Linked DNA regions of Struthio camelus. The protein of the gene in region 1 interacts with the protein of each later gene in a biochemical or structural test. Links are inferred from orthologs where the notes say so. Each region holds a gene or a part of one and is shown in the gene's direction. Other genes may lie near its edges.

What was found. The genes of interacting proteins can lie anywhere in the genome.
Region 2: the proteins of JUN (region 1) and PIN1 form a complex in vitro, tested with the Homo sapiens proteins (2 studies listed by BioGRID). The link is inferred for Struthio camelus from reciprocal best matches to the Homo sapiens genes JUN and PIN1.
Region 3: the proteins of JUN (region 1) and ETS1 form a complex in vitro, tested with the Homo sapiens proteins (2 studies listed by BioGRID). The link is inferred for Struthio camelus from reciprocal best matches to the Homo sapiens genes JUN and ETS1.

The regions. Positions count from the first base shown.
Region 1 is NC_090949.1:34,117,668-34,124,326, reverse strand, and holds JUN (transcription factor Jun), read left to right. Parts: upstream 1-4,113; 5' UTR 4,114-4,622; coding exon 4,623-5,567; 3' UTR 5,568-6,075; downstream 6,076-6,659. UniProt on the Homo sapiens protein: Transcription factor that recognizes and binds to the AP-1 consensus motif 5'-TGA[GC]TCA-3'.
Region 2 is NC_090972.1:5,062,647-5,070,256, reverse strand, and holds the start of PIN1 (peptidyl-prolyl cis-trans isomerase NIMA-interacting 1), read left to right. Parts: upstream 1-4,525; 5' UTR 4,526-4,626; coding exon 4,627-4,684; intron 4,685-6,946; coding exon 6,947-7,147; intron 7,148-7,610. Other genes in the region: FBXL12 (F-box/LRR-repeat protein 12), read right to left, coding at 1,415-2,188, 2,593-2,724, 2,842-2,901. UniProt on the Homo sapiens protein: Peptidyl-prolyl cis/trans isomerase (PPIase) that binds to and isomerizes specific phosphorylated Ser/Thr-Pro (pSer/Thr-Pro) motifs.
Region 3 is NC_090963.1:7,815,991-7,823,523, forward strand, and holds the start of ETS1 (protein C-ets-1), read left to right. Parts: upstream 1-4,448; 5' UTR 4,449-4,475; coding exon 4,476-4,542; intron 4,543-5,761; exon of another isoform or gene 5,762-5,996; intron 5,997-7,533. UniProt on the Homo sapiens protein: Transcription factor. Directly controls the expression of cytokine and chemokine genes in a wide variety of different cellular contexts. May control the differentiation, survival and proliferation of lymphoid cells.

The DNA.
Region 1 (6,659 bases):
GAACTTTATAAATCAAAATCTATATTACTGCTGGTCAAAGCATCTGCCTCTCACATCAGCAGACATATACAGTTAATTTCCAGGCCCTACCCACAAGTTAGTTTATTGAGACATGTAAATGGCTATGGTTTATAAATGGGTCAGGTAAGTGTTCTTTCATACGACTAAGGGAATATTTACTTAAGGACATCAGGAAAGGGGGGAAAAGCCCTAAAGTAATAGCTGTTTAATAAATTAGGAGCCTAGTCACCAAAATTCCCAGCTCCTTGGCTGATGGCCACGAAGGATCACTGCCTCCATACTCACGGGGCCTACTTCTGTTTTGTGATCTGTGGCACTGGGAGAATCTCAAATGGTAAAGTTGGCACTTAGCCGAAATCTAAGATGAGACTTCTGTCTTCAGCCAAGCACCTGGTCACCAATCGTTCCCACATTAGACTCAAAGAGGTGGAAAATCCCCTCAGAACAAGCAGCAATGAAAATCTGTCTTCAATTCCAGAGCCTCCTGCTACGCACAACCTTTATGACCAACTTGAGTGCCTATTGCCAGCCTGGACCAAACAACCCCTAAGTGAGTAGCAATTAACATAATGAGTGGACTGATGAGCGTCCCGCATAGCTACAGGCCTCAGCAGCAACATGTCCCTAGCAAACTGGAACGTCTAGTCCTGAAACTCCACCTTTGTAAAAGGAAGGCAGTCGGAAACTAAAACGGGTGGGGGAAAAAAAGAAAAAGAAATTAAATGACTTAAGTGAATATCTCCATCCCAATCCAACACTCACTGAAGCTAATGAAAACCTTGCATTGATACTGGGGGGGGGCTGAACTGGACCAACCATAAGGGAGTAGTTTTTCAGATTACACACAAATTTATTAAACAGAGCAGTTAAAGCTACAGTGACCACACTCCAGATTTGTAGTCTGGACTTGGCTTTCTAGGACAAAATAGACTTACAGAAAAAAACAAAAACACAAACTGAATAGACAGAACTCTGACAAATTAAATATGTCAACAATTCACTGGAATGAACTTAATTAGGATTATTTGCCTATGCCAAAAACTGACCAAAGCAAATGATTTGCACAGGTTTCCTATGTAACAGAAACCAGGGGGAAAAAAAAAAAAAAAAAACTTTTCAGCTTAATTTAAAAATTATTCTTATTCCATAATAAAAAACTGCCACACAACAAACTACTTAAAATTCCTGTCTTACCTTTCTCCAGAATTTCTTCCTTGCACAGACAAGCCCTTTATAAACATCCAAATTGTACACTGACACAACACAGAGAGATCATTTACAGTATATCTCGGGGGGGAGTTTTAAAGCAGCAAGAACGTAAGGACAGCCATATCAGGTCCAACTAGATACCCTATCTCTTCACAGTGGCCAGCAACGGATACCTAAAGAAGCATATAAAACCAGGGAAAGCACACAGCAGTTTTGCCTCAGGATGCTCTCACAGACACAAGTCATTTGCAGCTTTGGGGTTTCCAGAACCAGAGACGTATTGCATTCAAGAGCCCTTAAGGGATTTTTCTTCTGCAAATTCATCTAATCACTTTTAAAGCAACGAAAACCTTTAGCATGCCAAGGAGCTCCACAGCTTAACGACGCATTCTGTGGAAAAATTTTGCTGATTTGTTCTGAACCTACTACCTGCCTACTACCTTTGATTTGATGCCCCTTGGCTACTGGGTCAGAAGAGTCAGCGACTGGCCTCCATTTATCCTATACATAAAGATTAAAAAGGAGCTAAAGAGCTGCATTAATGAATTTAAGAGATTTTCTTATGCATATGCAGTAATTCATGCTGTTTTGCAAAACAGTATGCAGCTGAAACTACAGTGGTAGTCGAGTTGTTCTGCGCAACCTGCCACGCAGACATGTTGCCTACGTGAAGATAGCATGTATACCAACAGCATACAGAAGGCCACTAATTCAAGGGCAAACTTTGTAATTTATACTATGGATTGTTAACACAAACGTACTAAGAACTGCAACTGGTATTTGCATAAAGCCAATCAGCTTACAAAGTAACAACAGTGCTGACCATGTGGTCAAATGTATATACTGACTGAAATCAGGTGGGAACACTAGGGGGAAAACAGCAAAGAAAAATAAACAGCAATAACTTAAGAACAGTGGAGTTATATGTTCACTTTTATTTCACAGCTGCTTTTGCTTCTGTTTGTTTCATTATTGTTTCCTATACTGTAACTGGTAATTATGTCATTACGTCTAGGGGAAAAAAAAAATAGGACAGAAGAATTTGAAAGTGTATTTTCAAACCTAGACATAAGTTTGTTGGCTTTACATACTATAAAAAGTGATTCAATTCTGCAGACCACCCTGCAACAGAAAACTTCTTTTACAAGTGTAAGGAACTGCTGCACCACTCACATGATACTGTACACCTCTTCAGTCCCTGTCCTACCCTGTATTGTCACTGTCCATCCTTAAATAGCAGCTGCACTTTATCCCAGAGGTGGCTGCATGTCAGCTTTTACAAATTCACACCACCCGAAGAGAAGAGGGTGTGCGGCAGGGTGAGGAGGGGGAAGGTCAGGAAATGAATTCAGGCAGTAAGGCACACCCTTTTATTAGAGAGATACACTAAACTAATACATGCAAGTCTCTCATAAGACTAGCTACGATAAACTAGGTATTAGCCAGCTGTTGCTCTAGAAAGAGCATGTCAGCACAGACTTGACGCTCCTTGCTTAGGGCCCTTCAACTCCCCCCCCCCCAACCAACCTGTACTTCCACAGTAATATTAGGACACTCTAAAATTAGGCTGTCGTTGTCCCCTCCCCTCGGAGGATGAGTTCAGAGAAGCCCATCTGGAACTAGGTTTTTTCCTTGTCTTTTTCGTTTGGTTTTGTTTTGCCCCCTCTATCTTTCCGGCAAGTCCTGAGCCCAGGAATTGACGCCACCGACTAAGATAATGGCAATCGCGCCCTTACTTGCATCCCCACCTCTCCCCCGCGGCCATCACGAGCTATTAGACAAAACGCGCGTAACCGCGTCGTAGGGCTAGTGGCGGGCAGGGCCAGGGCACGGGGGCAGGCCGGGGGGCCGGCCCGGCCCGGCGGACACCCCTCCGACCGCCAAGGGGCCGTTCCCGGGCCGCAGGGGCCCCCCGCCCCGTGACGCGGGCGGCCGAGCCGCTCCCGGAGTCCCTCGGCGGCCGCCCTCCCCCCGGCGGCGGCGGCGGCTCGCGGGGCCCGGCCCGGAGGCGAGGCCGCGGAGGAGGCGAGGCCGCGGAGGAGGCGACGGCGCGGCCCCGGGGCGCCCCTCCGCGCCGGCAGGGCGGGCCGAGGCGCTGGGCCGCGTGGGCGGCGGGGAGCGCCGCAGGCGCGTGGGCGGGGGCCGCCCCGCGGCGGTTTGTGCCCTCCGCGGCCCCGCGCGCGCAGCCGCCTCGGCCCGGGCGCCGCCCCCAGCCCTGCCTGGAAGCCGCCCGGGCGAGGGGACGGCGGGCAGCAGGGGAAATCACGTGAGGGTTCTCCCCCCCGCCGCCGCGGAGCACCGGGAGCGCCACCTTAAGGGCCGTACCACCCGGCGGGGGAGGGCGCGGCCACGGCCAGGGGCCCCGCCGGCGCAGGGCAGAGCGGCGGCCCGCCCTCACCCCGCCGCCGAAACAAAACACAAGTCTAAAAAGCGGGGGGGGAGGGGGGGAACAAACGGCGGTTTAACAGCGGCGGCTCCGGCGCGGCGGGTAAGTCGGTACCTGCCCGCCGCCACCCCCCTCCGGCCCGCGGTTGGTACCTGACCGTTAAGGAGGCGCCCCCGCCCCGCCCGCCGCCGTCCAACCCGGCGCGAGCTCTGGGAGCGGGTAACCAGATATTCAAAACAATACGTCAGCCCACAATGCCCCGAGCCGCCGCCAGCATTACCTCATCCCACAAGGCCCCGCGCCGGCGCTGAGAAGCTTCTAGGGGCGGGGTGGCTATGGAGACCGGTTGATATGCAACAGGCCGGGCCAGCGGCCCGCCTCCCCCGGGAGATGCGGCGGCAGCCAATGGGGAGCCCGCGGGGTGACATCATGGGCTATTTTTAGCGGGTTCCCAGTCGCTGATAAGTGAAGGCTCCACGCCGGGACAGGGCTCAGAGCGCGCGGGGCGGGCGGCAGCGCGGCGCCAGCGCGGAGCCGGGTACGGCACGGCACAGCACAGAGCACGGCCGGCAGCGGCTCCGCCGAGGGGAGCGAGCGGCGAAAGGCGAGGGAGCTCCTGCGCCGGGGACGGCGGCTTCCGCGGCCGGGGAAGTACTTGTGGCAACTTGTGGCGGCGGCGCGGCGCGTCCCGTCCCGTCCCGGCGGCGGCGGCGAGCGAGGCGCCCCGCGGCACTGTTCCGTCCCTCCCCAGCCCCGCGGGGCCAGGCGGGCTCCCTGCGCGGCGGCAGCGGCGGCGGGAGGGGGCACCAGCCCGCCCGCGCCCCGGCGAGAAGCGGCGGCGAGCCGGGCTGCGCCCGCTGCCCCGAGCCGCGCGTGGCCGGGCCGCGGAGCCCGAGGCAGCTGCGCTAACGCCAACTTCCTCTGAGCGGGACGCGAGCGCCGGCGCCGGCCGAGCAGCTTCTCTCCGCTGATCGCAACTTTGGTACAACTCCGCGGACTGTGTTCTATGACTGCAAAGATGGAACCTACTTTCTACGAGGATGCCCTAAACGCTACTTTCGTGCCGCCGGAAAGCGGCGGGTATGGATATAATAATCCCAAAGTGCTGAAGCAGAACATGACTCTGAACCTATCCGATCCTTCCAGCAACCTCAAGCCTCACCTGAGGAACAAGAACGCAGATATCCTCACCTCCCCCGATGTCGGGCTCCTCAAACTGGCGTCGCCTGAACTGGAAAGGCTCATCATCCAGTCCAGCAACGGGTTAATCACCACCACTCCGACCCCAACGCAGTTCCTCTGCCCCAAAAACGTTACTGACGAGCAAGAGGGGTTTGCGGAAGGCTTTGTGAGAGCTCTAGCCGAACTGCACAACCAGAACACCATGCCCAGTGTTACCTCTGCTGCTCAACCTGTTAACAGTGGCATGGCACCTGTGTCTTCTATGGCTGGCAATAATAGTTTCAATACTAATTTGCACAGTGAGCCTCCAGTGTATGCCAATCTCAGCAACTTCAACCCCAACGCACTCAACTCTGCACCTAACTACAATACAAACAGCATGGGCTATGCACCTCAACATCACATAAACCCCCAGATGCCAGTGCAGCATCCCAGGCTTCAGGCTTTGAAAGAAGAACCTCAGACTGTACCTGAAATGCCAGGGGAAACACCTCCCCTGTCCCCTATTGACATGGAGTCACAGGAGAGAATCAAAGCTGAGAGAAAACGTATGAGAAACAGAATTGCAGCATCCAAATGCCGGAAAAGGAAGTTGGAAAGGATTGCCAGGTTGGAAGAAAAAGTGAAAACTTTGAAAGCCCAGAACTCAGAGCTGGCATCCACTGCCAACATGCTCAGAGAACAGGTTGCACAGCTAAAGCAGAAGGTCATGAACCACGTCAACAGCGGGTGCCAACTAATGCTAACACAACAGTTGCAAACTTTTTGAAGAGACTGACTTGAATAAGAACTATGATACCGTGGTAGAACTAAACAGAAAACCAAAAGTGGCAGATACATAAAGCTAATGGTAAAAGCTGAAAGGTTGAGTCCTGCCTGTGCTCCGCAAAGCGCATGTGTGGAAAGACTGGCAAGCCTTCAGCTTGAGTTAGTAGTGAAGCAGTCAGCACCGCTCCAAGAAGTGCTGTTCCTGCTCAGATGAGACGTCAGATCTTCGTTTAACATTGACCAAGACCTGCATGGACCTAACATTCGATGATCATTCAGTATTAAAGGTTAAACTGCAATAGAAACTGTAGATTGCTTTCTGTAGTATTCCTTAAGAGAAAAAAAAAAAAACACAGTGGGAGGGAGGTTTGTGGGAGGCTGATCAACAACAACAAAAAAAGAACCATTCTGCCTGCCTTCAAGTAAATTGTGTATGTACATATCTTTTTTTATTTTATTTTATGAAAGTTGATTAATGTCAATAAACTACTTCATGACTTTGTAAGTTATTTTTATGTTGTTTATTTGGGCACTGCCCAGTATTGTTTGTAAATAAGAGGCTTTTTTTTCTTCCTTTTTTTAGCACTCTGAGTTTACTGTTTGTAATAAAGTATAATTTTTTAATGTTTCTGTTTCTGGAAAAAAATCTAGAAGGTTCTATTATATTTAAGAAAATAAAATAATTAAAATGCATTTCCCCCTCCCACTTTTTTTGCCAGTACCTGAGTCAGGAAAATACCCTTTATTCTGACCTCAAAAGGTAGGGATTACGTTAAACTTGTAATATACAACTACAGGCATGCCCTGGAGAATGTGTGAGGAGTAGAGGGAGAAAAAACATCCTGATCCTTAAAGGAATATAACCTTTTGAATCTTCATTATGTTGCAGTTCAGAGTCTTAACTTGATTAAACTGTTTGCCATATTCTAGTGGCCCAGTTTAGAGACCTGATTTAAAGTTAAGCAGGTTGGAGAAGGGTCAAATGCCATTGCATGATATTGCCCCATGCTGTAATAGTCTGAACTGTGACTGGCTGCTTTTTATTAAACTAATGCCTTTAACAACATGCGTAAGGCAAGACATATGGGGGGGG
Region 2 (7,610 bases), on another chromosome or scaffold:
TGCTTTTTAACTCCACATGTGTCTTCAATAATGGAAAAGCTTTGCTAGGACAAAAGGGTCAACCAAACTGGAAGACAAAATCCATGGGTTTCCCTGAGGGAGTCTTGCAGTCCTGCGCCAAGCTTTCCAGTGGGTCTGTATCACTGCATTTTGATTCGTGTGCAACTCTTCCCTTCTGCTTTACCGCAGGGCAGCAGGTCTTCAGCTGTTAACACCTGAGCACACCGACTGTGCAGTGACAAAGGTTGCCTGACTTGCATATTCTAACAAAGACACTTATGACAGTTCAGTCAAAATATTCCAATAGCATGAGGAAGGCTAACAGTCAAAAACACTTTTATTTAATAAATACAGTATTTGATTAAAAACAGCATCCTTGGGTAACCCAACAGTCCAGAACAGCAATGTCACAAAGCTTCAGTTGCAATGTCAGGTAAGTTTTTTCTGTCACGTCCCTGCTGTTACAACATCTTGAGTAAGAGCAGTATGTGAACAATACAAGACAATAAGGCAATGTGGCTGCTCGCGGTAGCACAGCCCAGCAAAACAAGGAGAGGTAACAGCAGCCCCCTCTGATGCCCAGGAGCACGTATGGGTGCCCTTTCTCTCCACAAATGGAATGTGATGCTTTTGGGAACAAGCAATTAGGAAGATCTGCAACCAAACTTTTCTGCATTTTGAAAAATAACTTTCAGGACTAAACTTGGCAGGAAGATAAAAGCAAGAAGACAGCCCAAACTATGAAAACACTCGGTGTCTGGGCAGCAGGTCACCCGAACTGTTCCGAGAACAAACCAACTCTGGCAGCACGTGTCTGAAGCGCAGCCTTTTAAGTGTTTCTTCCTAGGCATAGTTAGGAACGTACACACAGGGTGGTTGAGCAATCAAAGTTAGATATTAACTGGAGTTCTAGGTTTTGGGCAGCTTTTTTTTTTTTTTTTGGTAGTTTGTTTTTGGTGGGGGGCAGTAGGGCATCTCACTTCATCTCTTGAATTCTGTGCTGGTTGAACTGCTGCCTGATGCTCAGCACAGGGGTGAAACAGGGCACAGGAAGAGGTTAAATATGGACACACACGTGTGCTCACTCGCTTGCTCACTCTCTGAAACCTCTGTCAGCCCTTGGTCAATTCACTGCTGGGGTTCCCAAACGTAAACAGCTGCGTATTCACTGACTTTCCAATTTGCCTGATCCATGGAGGGATCCCACCAGAAGCAAGTTCTCACCAAGCTATTTACATGACTTTGCAATGTGAAAATTGGCTCTTTTCACAGCACTGTTTTAGCCTGAGTGGGAGCATACAACTGTTACCAGGAAAAAAAAAATCATTACCCAAAAAAGCACATTTGAAGCTTGGTGATGAAGGGCGAGCGTCCTGCCACTTTAAACTGTTAACATCTTGCTTCAGAATCTGTATCAAGGAGTATGTGAAAAGCTGCAGTTAGGCAAACTCGCCTGAATTTTATGTATTGCCTCATCTTCAAAATGAGCCCCATCTAAATTGAGATTCCTCAGCTGGGGGAGTGCTTGGCACAAAGCAACAATGGCATCAGGGGAGAACTTATCACAGAGGTCAAGGCAGAGCGTTTCCAGGCACTTCAGGGTCGCTAGGCAAGCCAAACCTGCATTTGTCAAGGAATAAGCATTGCTGATCTCCAGCAGTCGGAGACATTTCATATGGCGCCCAATGAAACGAACAGCGGAGTCGGTAATGACGCAGTGGCGCAGCACAAGGCGCTCCAGCCCCCCCAAGTACACCGCTGCTCTCTGAATCCCTGCGTCTGTTACCCGGTAGGTCCCAGACAGGGTCAGCGTCTTCAGATGAGTCTGGGAGGAGACGTTTAGCAGATGCTGGTCGCAAAAGGCAGGGACGTTCCGGACGATGAGATGCTGCAGCTGGGGCAGGGCGCTCGCGGCAGGGCCCTGGAACCAGGCAGCAGGGATTTCGCAGTGACTCAGCTCCAGCGTCCTCAGGGAAGCAGGCATGCTCTGGTAGGGGAGCGGGCGGAGGTCGGCCTCGGCCAGGCACAGCCGGCCCAGGCGGGGACACTGCCTCCCGAGGGCGGCCAGCAGCGCGGGAGAGAGGATCTCGTGCTTCCTCGCCGAGCACAGCGCGCCCTTCACCTTCAGTGTCCGCAGGCCGTCGCGCAGGTGCCGCCGCAGCAGGTGCCACAGGGTCCTGGAGCTGACCTGAGCGAGAAGGGAGTCAGGCCTCGCGCGGTGGCCCCCAGTCCCTACCGGGCATCCTCCAGCCCCTGGCAGCCCCCAGTCCCTACCGGGCATCCTCCAGCCCCTGGCAGCCCCCAGTCCCTGCTGGGCAACCCCAGCCCTCACCAGGCAGGCCCTGGTCCCCACCGGGTGGCCCCCGGCCCTGTGCAGCCCCCGGTCCCTGGCAGTCCCCAGTCCCCACCGAGCATCCCCCAGACCCCGGCTCCAGCCCCCACCGGGCAGCCCCCAGCCCCCGGGCAGCTCCCGTCCCCACCGGGCAGCCCCGGGCCCCGTACAGCCCCCGGCCCCCATCAGCCCCCACAGAGCAGCCCCCGGCCCTGGGCAGCCCCGGTCCACCCCGGTCCCCGGGAACCCCTAGTCCCTACCGAGCAGCCCCCGGCCCCGGGCAGCCCCCAGCCCCCGGCTGCAGCCCCCGGTCCCCCACCCGGTGCGCGCTCAGGTCCACGTGTCTCCAGAGCGCCCGGTCCTGCCCCAGGCGCCGCCACCGCCGACAGACCCTGTGGGGAGAGAGGAGGCCGGTCACCGCCGGAACCGGGACCGAGACCCGGCCCCGGCCCGGCCCGGCCGCACCTGCCCGCGCGCAGCCGGTCCCGCAGCGGCAGCAGCGCCAGGACCTCCAGGAGCACCGAGTCGGGCAGCGCCGCCAGCCCGGCGCCCGGCGCCCCCTCCGCCATGGCAACGGGCCGCTTCCGCTTCCGGCGGCCGCGCTTCCGCTTCCGGGGCGCGAGGGCACCCGCGACTTCCGCTTCCGGCGCGGCGACTTCCGCTTCCGGCGGGGCAGTCGTCAGCGGCGGCGGAGTGGCCTGCTCGGGTCTCCTCTGCGCGGCCCCCCCCTCGCAGCCCCCGCTGCCGGCGGCGCCTCTCTTCCCTCAGGAACGATGATCGAAGTCGTCTGCAACGACCGCCTGGGCAAGAAGGTGCGGGTGAAATGCAAGTATCCCCGGGCTGGGGCCGGGGGGCGGCGGGTGAGGGGGGTGGCGGCGGCTCCTCCCGGTCCCGCTTTCCTTAACGGCGCCGCCAGCACCGAGGACTCCATCCGCGACCTGAAGAAGCTGATCGCAGCGCAGACTGGGACCCGCTGGGACAAGATCGTGCTCAAGAAGTGGTGAGCGGGGCGGGCGGCGGCCGCCGCTCCTCGGCCAACGGCCCCCTCGGCGCCTGGCCCGGGCTGGGGTGCGGCCGAGCGGCCCCCGGCTGCGCCCTAGCGCTGGGGGAGCCGGGAGGGGAATCCCGGCCCGTTTTGGGGTAGCGTTGCTTGGCCGGGCTGTCACGGGCGGCTTCAAAACCACGCTAGGTCTCCGCTGCTGCCCCTCCATGAGGGGGCTGATGGGAGCAGGGCTGTTGGGGAGGCTGAGGCTGCACCGCTCCCAGGGCGTCTTCCTTTGCTTTAACCTGTGGGGGGGTCACGTGTGCCAGACTGATCTCCGTTTCACGATAACTGCAGGTACACGATCTTCAAGGACCATGTCACGCTGGGAGACTGTATCCTTCTTGCTGTGGTAGTCTCAGTAAGGTTTCTCTGGGGAAACTTCCCAGTTAAATAAGAGATCGAGAACATTTACCGGACGCGCAGCCGGAACGCTGGAACAACGCGCGCGTCAAACCCAAGCAGGCAGCGTGAGCAGAGAGGAAGCGGCTGGGCGCATGCAGCGCTCGCCCTCCTTCCCCGCTGCTGGCAGCCCTGGGGGTGGAGCACGTCCCTGACAAGTGTTGTTTGGTTTGGGACGTTGTACAGCAAGCCAAAGGCAGCGTGGGGTGCAGCTTAGCGCTGGGGGAAGCTTGTCGGGGGCCCTGCGCCAGAACCACCTTAACTTGCTGCTTCAGATGAGATCCACGACGGCATGAACCTGGAGCTCTACTACCAGTAGCGGCGGCTGCCGCGCCGTCCCCACTCCCCGCCTGGCCTGGCTGATGCCTTCCCTCTGTTCCCCTCGCGCGGCCAGCGCGCCGAGCGCCCCGCATTCGTGCATGGAGGCAGTAGATGTGCTGTAGCCTCTCGGGAGTGTTTTGGCTAGTTTGTAATAAACATGTCCCTCGACGTGTCCCTCTTGTCGTGCTGCGGCTCGAGGGGCCGGTGCGGGCGGGCGCCGGGGGGGGGGGGGGGGGAAGCGGGCGCGCTCTGGGATCTTTTGTGCGTCGGCGGCCGCCGTCCGGCCTCCTGTCACGTGCCCCGCGATCGCTTCCGGGAGCAATGCGGCCTCCCGCCCGCAGCCAATCAGTGCCGGAATGGTGCGTGCTTCCGCCAATGGCGCTGAGGACTCGCGCACGAAGGAGGGACGTAGCCCACGGCTGGGCCAATGGGAGCAGAGCGGGGACGGGGCGTGCCCGCCCCCCGCGCCAATGGGGGCCGGGCCGGGAGAGGTCGGTGCGGGAGGCGCAGCTGCCGCGGCCGAGGGAAGATGGCGGAGGAGGAGAAGCTGCCCGCGGGCTGGGAGAAGCGCATGAGCCGCAGCTCCGGTACGGGCGGCGGCAGCGGCGGCGCTGAGCCCCCGCGGGGCGGGGGGGCCTTGGGGGTGGCGAGGGCCTGGCCGGGGCGGGGGGGGGCTGGGTGTCTGAGGGGGGTCTGGCCGGGGGGGGCGGGGTTTTTGGGGGTGTTGAGGGCTGGTTGGGGGCTATGAGGGTAGCCGGGCGGGGGGGATTTTGGGGGTGTTGAGGGCCTGGTCATTGGGTCTGAGGCGGCCTGGTTGGGGGGGGTGGATTTTGGGGGTGTTGAGGGCCTGGTCATTGGGTCTGAGGCGGCCTGGTTGGGGGGGGTGGATTTTGGGGGTGTTGAGGGTGTAGTCTGGGCTGTGGGGGGGGATGGTTGAGAGATGGGGGCTCTGGGGCAGGTGCTGTGAGCTGGACTTTGGGGTGGGTCTCGAGAGGTTCTCGAGGGGTTGAAGTTCAGGCTTTTGGGGGGGGGGTCCTGAAGGGTGCCTGACTCTGGGGCTGCTTTGACTAAGATGGTGCCTGACCTGGGGGGAGGGTTTGGGCTTTTGGGGGTGAGGGGCAGCTCCTATGTCCAGTGGGATGTTGATCTACAAGGGGAGATGGAGCGTGATTTCTGGGAGCTGGGTTGGGGTGAGGGATGTGCTGGCCCTGCACCCCTGGGGGGAGGGTGGTGCTGGCAGCTGCTCCGTCCCTGTGTAACTGGCGGGGAGGCCTGGGGATGGGGGGATTGAGCCCAGCGAGACCCTTGTCTGAGAGCCCCCATCGGAACATGCAGGATGTCTTGCCTTCAGTGTGGCTGCTGTGACTTTGTAGCTCGAGAGCAGAAGTCCTTGGTCAGGATGGCGTTTTCAGCAGAGTTTTTGTCCTTTCTAGTTAGAGCTTTCCATGTTATGGGACCTAATGGCTCAAAAGCAGTTTTTAGGATGCTGTGTTCTCATGCTTGACTGTGGGGGAGATGAGTCCAGGGAGGCAAAGCGTGGAAAGGGAAGAGGTGTCTGTGTGACGCCTTCTTTGTTAAAACTGCGATGGTTGAAGTGCCCTGGCGATAGGGAGCTTTGTGATTGTGTGGAGTTGTCAAGTCTGGGTTGTTAGTGGCCTCCTGGAGGGAGAAACACGGATGACTGTATGGCACTGGTTGGGATTGCAACCGGGGAATTGGGCCCTTTGTCACTACAGCATGACTTCCTACTGCATAGTAAGTTAACCACTGCTGTTGCATTCCCCCTCCCTCGATTTCCTGGCAGAATGGGCTTTTTTTGTGAGTCTTCTGTGGCTCTGGTTTCACTGGAATGCTTTAAGATGAATGCTGCAATAGAAGTTGGAAATCATCTTGATTACAGTTGTGAATTATTGCAGATAAATGAACATGTAGCTCTGAGCCAACACTGGAAGGCCTTTAAGCAAGTGGTGCATCCCTGTCACTGGATGACAGTATTAACTGGCTTTGTTTTAGTGCTGAACGTGGTGTTTTCATAGATGATTTAATCAGAACTTTACTTTCTGCTATGAGGGGGAAGGCATGAGCGTTTTGTGTGGGGAGGTCTTGTTTTCTGGTAGAAACAAAAAGTGATTTTGGAATTGGGCTTTTCTGAGCAATACAAAGACAGGACCTTTGGTAAGGGTAATTTATTGCATTTGCTGCAGCCTGTGCTAAATGATGCACTTAACCGAGAGGCTTTACCTTGTTTCACCATTGCAGATAGTGCTAGAGTGAAATACAACCTTATATCCGCACACCAGAGACCTAGCACCGATCCCTAGCTGCGCAGGGGCAAAAGGGCAGGGTTCCACCGTGTTACCGCGTGCCTCCTTAGAGGATGTGTTGCCATCGCGTGACTGGGAGCTGACTGCGCTCCTTGCTTTCTTAAGAATAATCAACACTTCACATAGGCGAACTTGTGGTCTAACCCTGGCCGCAGCGGCAGGGTGTTGTGTGGGAACGTTTGTTGTTCTGACTGGAGCAGTGGGTGCTTTTGGCCCTGATCTATGGGAGCTTCATGACTTGCCCTAAATTGGAAGAGCTGCTGGAGTCTGCTTCTGCGCAGAGCTGTTGCTTTGACTAAACTCGTGTTTCCATTTGTGTAGGAAATGATGTATACAGAGCTATAAACTACTGTGTGCGATACCATGTTTTTACTGCGCTGGCATTGATAATCTGAACACGGCCGACCACAGTCTCACCTACTTGCAGAAATCTGGTCTTATCTGTCTAGTGGGCCTTGAAAGAAGCTAGTTCTAGGGGTCTGACAGGAGCTTTTTATAACCCTGACGCTCTCTTTCTGTCTGCAGGCCGCGTTTATTACTTCAACCACATCACAAATGCCAGCCAGTGGGAACGTCCCAGCGGCAGCGGAAAGAATGGCCAAGGGGAGCCCACCAAAGTGCGATGTTCACATCTCTTGGTGAAACACAACCAGTCCAGAAGACCCTCATCGTGGAGGCAGGAAAAGATCACGCGGACCAAAGATGAGGCACTGGAGCTTATAAATGGCAAGTAAATGCAGGAGAGAGAGAAAGAGTGATACTATTGTAGGGGAAAAGTCATTTTAAGGCTTAGAACTGAACCCTGAGATGAATGGTTCAGTGTGTCGTGAACTCTCTAAAGCAAAGTTTTTGAGCCAAGTGGTTTGAACATGGACTTTCGTGTAGCATAGCCACTTGGAGAAACAATTTTGCTGTATGATTTGCTGGCTGTGATTAAATGACATAGTCCTACCCCATGTGCCTTCTTCCCCTTATGTTTTTTGTAATGTTGTTTCAGAGGTTTGCTTGTATTTTATTTGTAAATGTGTATTTTTATATTAAAAATAAAGTAATTATTTAAAGCTAAAACAAATGTTCTTTAAACATCTCTTTTTGTTTAATATGTCATTTGACTCTTTGCACTAATGGCAGTTACTGTAAGTTCTGATTAACCTCTGCTTAAAATCAAGTTGCTTGTATAGGCATCTTG
Region 3 (7,533 bases), on another chromosome or scaffold:
ATTTCTCACTTCCTCTTCCAGAATGAAAATTTTGACGGGAGTTAGTGCTATTTTTGGTTTTATCATGTATATGTGTATATAAATATAAAAAAATAAATATATATATATATATTTATAATCATATGTAGAGAGGGAGGCTGTATTAAAAATCAGTGCTCAAAGTAGAACGAAGGGATTTTTCCACCCATCCTGTCACACCCGAACCGTTCTCACATCTTCAGACCCCGAGGTTATTTAAAGCCGCTTGCTGCACAGTTCTTGTGCCCCTTAGTGAAGCAAGATAAACCACGTATGAGCAAGTTTATAGCAGTTAACTCAGGCCACATGAAGGAGATTTAACTGTAGCAGCTTCTAACCTAATATAGCCTCACAGCAGTCATGTGTGGACCAGTTTTAGCGTTCAGGATGTCCCCAGAATCGCCTTTCTTTTTAGCTTATATCCTGTGCCCATTGCATGTACCCGAGACTGGGGGTCTGAGCTCCTGCCTGACCCAGGACTGGCAAAACCCCATCCCGTGGCTCTAGGGGACACGTTTCCCCTTGACTCGGACGGGGCTTGTGGCTGTCCTCGGGTCCTGCACCAGGAGGCAACGGGGGTAATTATTAATCAGGTCTCCGTCCCTTTCTCTGCCTGCTGGGCCAGAAGGGGCGAGCTCCGGTGGCGACTCCCGTTTGCTTTCGAGGCTAGCCAGCGACGGAAAGCCTCCGCAGCTGGCGGCCAGATGTGCGCGGCTCTTCATGGGCCACTGCTGAAGCATCTGTGGCACACGCGATGCACCATCGTCTTCATTTTGAGGAGGGTCAGGAGGGAATGCTGCTGCGGCCGGGGTGAACCTGCCGTAACATTTACAAGCATTGGGAGGTTTATTTTTGGACTCTGCTCACTTTCTGGATCCGTTTGCTTCCCATGGCTGCTGATGCGTTGAATCCAGGCAGCAAGGAGGCCAAATTTGCTCACCTTCAATGGTGACCACTTCCACGCGCTCAAATAACGACAGCTTTTTGTACACCTTGATCTGGCTGTATCATCTTTTCACAGTGCAAGTAGCGCCTGGGAATCGCTACAACCCTCCAAGTCAGGTTTCCCCATGCTTTACTCCCTGGCACTGGGGCCACCACGTAGCACCAGCCGAAAGGAGACAGGATCAGGTGCTCATGGTGACTTTACCAGCTCCTGCTCTGTTTTTCCAGTGTCATACGGGAATGATGATACTTACAGGTCCATAAAGTGATGTGGACGCTGTCTTCATTCATCTTATCACCCTCAATGGCTTATAATCTTCAAGGGGATTACCACTCTGAAGGGTCTTTCCCTGGAAAGCAACCTGGGACCTGCAGGGCCTGAACTGTGGCAGATGACAGTCAGTGTAACTCTGGCTGAGGTGGATTTTGCCCGGGTGATCGTTGCCCAGCTCTGCGATACAGACTGTGATCCTCCCCAGTTGTAGCCTTCTTCAGCATGATGCTACTCTCATTCTCCGTCCATCCCTCTACCTGCCAAATGGAGATAAAGACGCCTTAACTCACCGGAAAAGGTGCTGCTTCTGCTAACGTATATGTCCAGCACCTTCCAGGAGGGCCAGGATGTCATTCGAGCTCACTATGTGCCACTGAAATACAAACAGCCAACGAGCGCGCAGCCCGTGAAAACATTCATGACACATTTCAGATTTGGCAGAAACATTAATAACTGCTTTGATTAAGCATTCAGGGATCATTTTATTTTTTTTTTTACAAGTGCAATGAAAACTCAAGCCATCTGGAACTGAAAGTCCTTCTTTCTGCACAACAGTTGCATGACAACTTCCACAAACCACCCTCAATTAAAGCTACGTTTTTGTTGCCAGCTGAGGCAACTGGCTTAGGTGACCGATGTGGCAGCGGCCACCCTGAAATCAGGCGTCCACGTGCAAGCCCTGCCCCAGACGAGCGAGGCGATCCGTGCCCAGCAGACACCGTGCCGTGTCGTCAAGAACAGCCAAACCAGAAGCCTCTCCATTTTGCAGAGGCACGGTCAATTGGACAGCCGTATACAGCGGCTATTAATATATAGGATAGTGCATCTGAAGAACCGTCTGCTCCAGAGCAAACCCTCCAGCCCTGGGAAAGACATCTTGTTTGCAGCTGCCAGCAGGGTTATCCTGCAGCCTTGGGGAAGAGTTGCCCAGATAAAAATTGATTGTTGGATGAATTCTCTTCCTTTGGCTCTCAGACGTGACCGAGCCTTTGTGCCGAAGCCCAGAAGGCTGGAAACCTTCCCGAGAAGATGGAACCCTGCAAATAATTTCCTGAGTTAAAACAGCTACAAGCGGGATCTGCGCCTTATGGCTGCAAGTTCAACAGGTAACGTGTATTCATGCCACCTGTCGCCATGTGTTTCCCAGCTAAGGCAAGGGCTAAAATGGAAATTCGCTTTGCGCTTAGGAGCTTGAGAAAATCCTCAAAGTCCCTGTTAATAGTTTTATGCGCGTAAATACTGGTTCTGTATCTGTCACTATACGCATCTGAGCAATCAGTGTCTCCTGGGCTGGGAGGCGAAGAACTGGAGAGTCCTTTACGCCTGTGAGCGCTACAGTTTTGCATATTTAATTTCTCTAGGAAGCATTTGGCAGCAGTGGATGCACTAGGAGCCGGTGCTGGCAGGAATTATTCACTTAATAGCTTCTGCAAATGCTGTTTTGGTCTGCGCTTTGCAATCGTCTGCTTGGCTGGGAGCGTCCAGCGTTTGGAGCGGGCCAGGAGGTCCCCAGGAGTTACTTCTGCCCCTAGACTGACCAACGCCTCAGCCTGGATTTCCGGTGACAATACGTAGATGTACAGGCTGCATTTTTGTACGGAGAAGATGCTGCAAACTTTCCTGCCAACCGGCCGCTTCTGCGCACGTTCAGGCGAGCAGAGCATCACCGTGTCACTCCGTCTGGGTAAGAAGGGCTGAACCCCGCGGCTGTGTCCCCACTGTCACTGGTGTATTCAAGTTCACTATTAGGGTTTCCAGGGGAAACCAGAGCGGCTGCTCCAAGCCTGCCGTTCTCTCCGTAAGCGGACTTGTTGCCTCGGCGCAGGACGGGGGTGAGCCTCGGTGTTCGGGCTGCCGGCACCGAGGGGACAGCGAGAGCCCGGAGAGAGCCGCTGGGCTCCGTAGGACCGGGCGCATCCGGAGCGGAGCAGGGAGCTGCTCAGCGCTTGCAGCCAACCCGGGGTGGGGGGAAAATCCACCTCCTCGCTTGGGCTTTCTGGGTCTCAGAGCTCACGGCGAAACGCCGGCTGCTGCGTGCCGGCCGGGCGGCGGGTCGTGAGCGGGGCTGGGGCCCCCCGGCGCTTCACCTCTGCTCCCGGGGGCTGCTCCCGGATGCTCAGGCAGCCCCGCCGCTCACGCCGCCGTCGTGACTCGGATCTCCGGCTCGAGCCGGAGCGCATTTTCAGCCTGGAGCCCTCTCCTGGAGGAAAAGGCAGCCTCGCCGGCGGGGAGAGCGAGGGAGGCGAGACGGGCGCTTCCTCCCGTGCCCAGGCTGGGGGGAGCAGCGCTGGGGCTGGAGGCGCCGGCGGCCTTGCCTGGGGCCGGGCAAGGCCGCCGGCGCTGGCAGGGGCGAACCCCAGGCCCTGCTCCCCCAGAGCCCGGTAGCGACTTTACACTGACATCCTCGGCACGCAACCTGCTCCTCCGGCCCCTGTCCCTTTGCCCGCCGGCGGGCCCGGTGGGGACCGCTCTGGCCGTCCGTCTCCGGCACGGCCTCGCCGGAGACCCCCGCCGCCGCCGGCCCCCGCACCAAGGGGGACGCTGTGAGCGGGGACCGGCCGCCGCGGTCAGAGGAGGGGACGGAGCCAGCAGCTCCCAGCGCTCGCTCCGAGATGCTGCCTTTAAGTAAGGGGGCGATCGCCGCAGCCTCCCTGCTTTGGGGAGAAAGCCAGCGGCCACCACGGCTCCCCGACGGCGCGGGGGCGAGGGAGGCACCGAAAAGCCCCCCTGCAGCCAGCAGAGCACGCGAGCGGGACGCTCAGAGGTGCCCAGAGGGCTTTTTAGGAAGAAACCGCGGTTTCTGGGGTCAGGCACCTCCAGGGAGCGGCAGCGGCGGAGCCGGCGTTGAGGCGTCAGGTCGCCGGCTAAACCTCGCCCTGGCTGTGCTCGCCGTGCCTTTTGCCTTTTTTTTCCCCCCCCCCCCTTTTTTTTCTTTTCTTTTCACACTTCCACGGAAAGACTAATTCCCACCTCCCGAGGACTGTGCGGGGCCCAACCGGCTGGCGCTCGCCGTGCGGCAATATCCGCGGCAGGAGCGGGGCCGAGGCCGCTGGCCCAGCTAGCCTCCGGGGAGCGGGGTGGGGGGGCGGGGGTCCCCCCGCCTGGACCGGCAGGGTCCGGCGTGCCATCCGCAGAGGTGGCTTTCGGCGGCGGCGTGGGAGCTCGCCTTTCCCACCGCCCTGCATGCGGGGCTGACCACTCCCCCTGCCTTTGAATAGGCGGCCCTGCCGCGCACGCTATGGCATTCCCATCCTCTCCAGCTCCGGCGCGGAGGACAGCACCAGGTAGTTGGGAAGAGATCGGAGGCAAGTGTGGCCAGCCGTGGTGGAGGACGTAACCTTTCCCCCCCCCCCCGCCTCCTCCCCGGGTCTTTCCGAGAAGTAGTAAGTGACGGCGGGGAGAGGCTCTTTCTGAACTCGCGCGTGGGCTGCAGGTACCTGCGCTCGTTTTTGAGGACACCTCCGATTTGTTTTGCCGATGATTTACTTTTTCCTCTCCCCATGGGGAGCTGCACGCAGCGATCGATTCGCGTGTTTGCTGGCAGCGCGGCGGGATTTTGTAAATAGCTGAGCTGCTGCGTTTCCCCCCCCCCCCACCTCCCCCCCTCCCCGCCCCCCCAAAAAATCCCTTTTGTATATAGAGCATCTGAAGTTTGTGTGCATGCTCAGGGGAACATTATGGTTTTCCTCACCTCGGGCTAGAAGGCTGCTGCTTCTTGGCGTTATCGCCGTCGGTTGAGTTTGCAGTTCATTGTATGTTTTGCGTTGCTGCTTTTGGGATGCTGGCTGGTTCGGCCGGGGGAGAAGCGAGGTGCCCAGGGCCAGATGCTCGCTCCCCGTGCACGGGCTGCCTTTCAGCCCCGGCCGCTGGGGCTGCTTTCTGCCTTTGGCCGACTGCTTGCTGCACCTCCCTTCGTTTTTAAGAGCGACGGTATCCTCCGAAGGGCAGAAAATGCCACGAGCGCCAGCGTTTGCTTTTGGGAGCAGCCGGAGCTGGGAGCCCCGACGGGCGGCAGCCGCAGGGGTTTGCGGATACGCCGCTGCCGCTGCCCGGGAAGGGCACGATCCTGCTTCTCTCACCCAGCCGAAAAAGCCAGGAGGAGCTGTGAGCGCCCGCGAAGCACGGTCAAGGCCTTCCACGTCCCTATTAGTCTCTAAATTATCGCTTTGCATGTGGCCACTCGTTTGGTATTGCAGTTACCATCGACTTCCCATCCAGTGCTGTCAACTGACACCTCTGGGGGCTGTGGGCTGGCTCCAGCGCGGTTTCCTGGTTACAGACCGCTGGCGCTGCCTCTAACTCGGCCGGGTTTTTATCTTGCCCCCGAACGTCACGTAAACAATTTTCCCGCAAGCCGGGATATTTTGGGCTACCCGGACATTTTCACCTGGGGCAGCAGGGAGCGGCGACGCGCGTCCGGCGGCTTGGATTGTGATGGAAGCGCGCTGCGCGTCCAGCGCCTGCGTCCGTCTGCGTGCCCCTGTGCATCGGCGCGCCGGCATCACCTGCCCTGCAGGAAACCTGTAGCGAAACACGAAAGTAAAGCCGGGCCTTGCATCCGCAGGAAAGCCCTGGCTTGCCCTGGGCTGGGTTGTGCTTTACGCGAGAGGGATGCGCGGGCTGCCCTGGGGCAGGGGATCTTTCACCGCCTAGCGAGAAGCGGGTCCGGCTCTTCCCCCCAGCCCCGCTGCTTTGCCCTGCTTGAGGAGCTGGTGCGTGGTGTTGTGTTTTAAGCCTGTGCCTTCACGGAGGGAAATACGTGAGTGAAATAGCAGATGACCTAATTACCCCCTCCCTCCCGTTCACGTCTTCCTGCTATTGCAAATAGCTGTTATGATCCCAGAGAGCGGCGTGATTTAATGGCAACGGCCGCTCTGGTTTAGTGTCTCACCTAAACCTGCGTCCTTGGCATGACCTCCAGGTGTCGGTTTGCTATAGACTTGACGGTGCTGGTGGTGGTGGCATTACTTTAAGCTTAATGATAAAATAGCGATGGCTAGTATTTTTTTTTTTCCCCACCGACTAATGAGTTGGGTAAAGGCAAAGTCTAAGTCGGGTTTACTCCCAAGCTCAGGGATCGAGGGCTTGTGTGTGCATGCACATATCTGCCTGGTCCAAACCTTAACCATCCTGCTGCTGTCTCTCTGGGAAGGTGGAAGGCCCTTAAGGCACCGTCAAATCTGCTTCAGCGCTGGCAGCGGCTGAGAAAAGGGGCACGGCGTTAAAGCGGAAAGCGATGTGCGGACCGGCAGCCCCCTCCCTGCCGCCCCTGGCCACGCCGTCCCCAGAAACGGTGTGGACAACCTCCTCAAAGCACCGCTGATCCAACGGCAGTCGCTGCCGGGTCGTTTAAGATAGCGGCTTAGAGGCTCCGGTACTCGACCTCTCTCCCTCGCTTTCTCTGTGTGACCTTAGCCAAGTCATTTCATCCCTTGGAGTATTTGCGGAGGGTGCAGAAGGGCTCTTGCTGTGTTTGCCATCGCATCATTATTTACCGTTCTTCCTGGCTTCCCTTCGGTAGATTAGGTATTATCTGTGCGCTTGCTGCAAACTTTTGAAATCACACTAAATGTGAATTCCCGTGATGGGAAATGGAGACAGCCGGTGGCCAATCTGTTAAAAAGCATGTGTTGCAAACAGCCTTCGCTGCAGCAAGTGAAGCATGCTCTTTCGTACTGCTCGTATCCCTGCATTAGGGATGCTCCTTTTATTTTAAAGTTGATGCCAGGGTTTGATGAACTGAATGAGTTTTTAATGTACCAGCACATCTACAAACACTGGTTTTTCTCCTGGGAATTATATTGGCAGGCAGCCTGGAAAATGCCAGCACTTCGCGGGTTAAAACCTTGCGGAAGAATGTCATTTCCACGAGCTATTTTCCCCACCCCCTCGAAGATGATAAATTATTACTTGATGCAAAAATAAAATGACTATCACTAAGCAGCTTTGGGCCAGCGAGCTGCCAGCGCGGCAGCCCACGGAGGGTGGTTGCGTTGGAGGTGGACAGTTTTTGAAGGCTTCATCCAGGTTCTCGCAGACAGAACTGTTTCGATGGGGTTGCGAGCGTTGCCCCTTCTTGCCGGCTTGCCCTTGCTTCTTGCCCTTCCCACCTAAGCCTGCGGAAGGGGAACCTCCTTGGTCTGTTGGGATGGAGAAAAGCACCCAGATCCTACTGTGCGGCTGTCCCAAGCCTGGTACCCTCGTGTGACCCTCTAAGTGAGATGCCAGCCTGGGACCGATGGGTATGGGATGGGCAGAGGCTGAGCACGGCCCTGCGACCCAGAAACTGGGGAGCA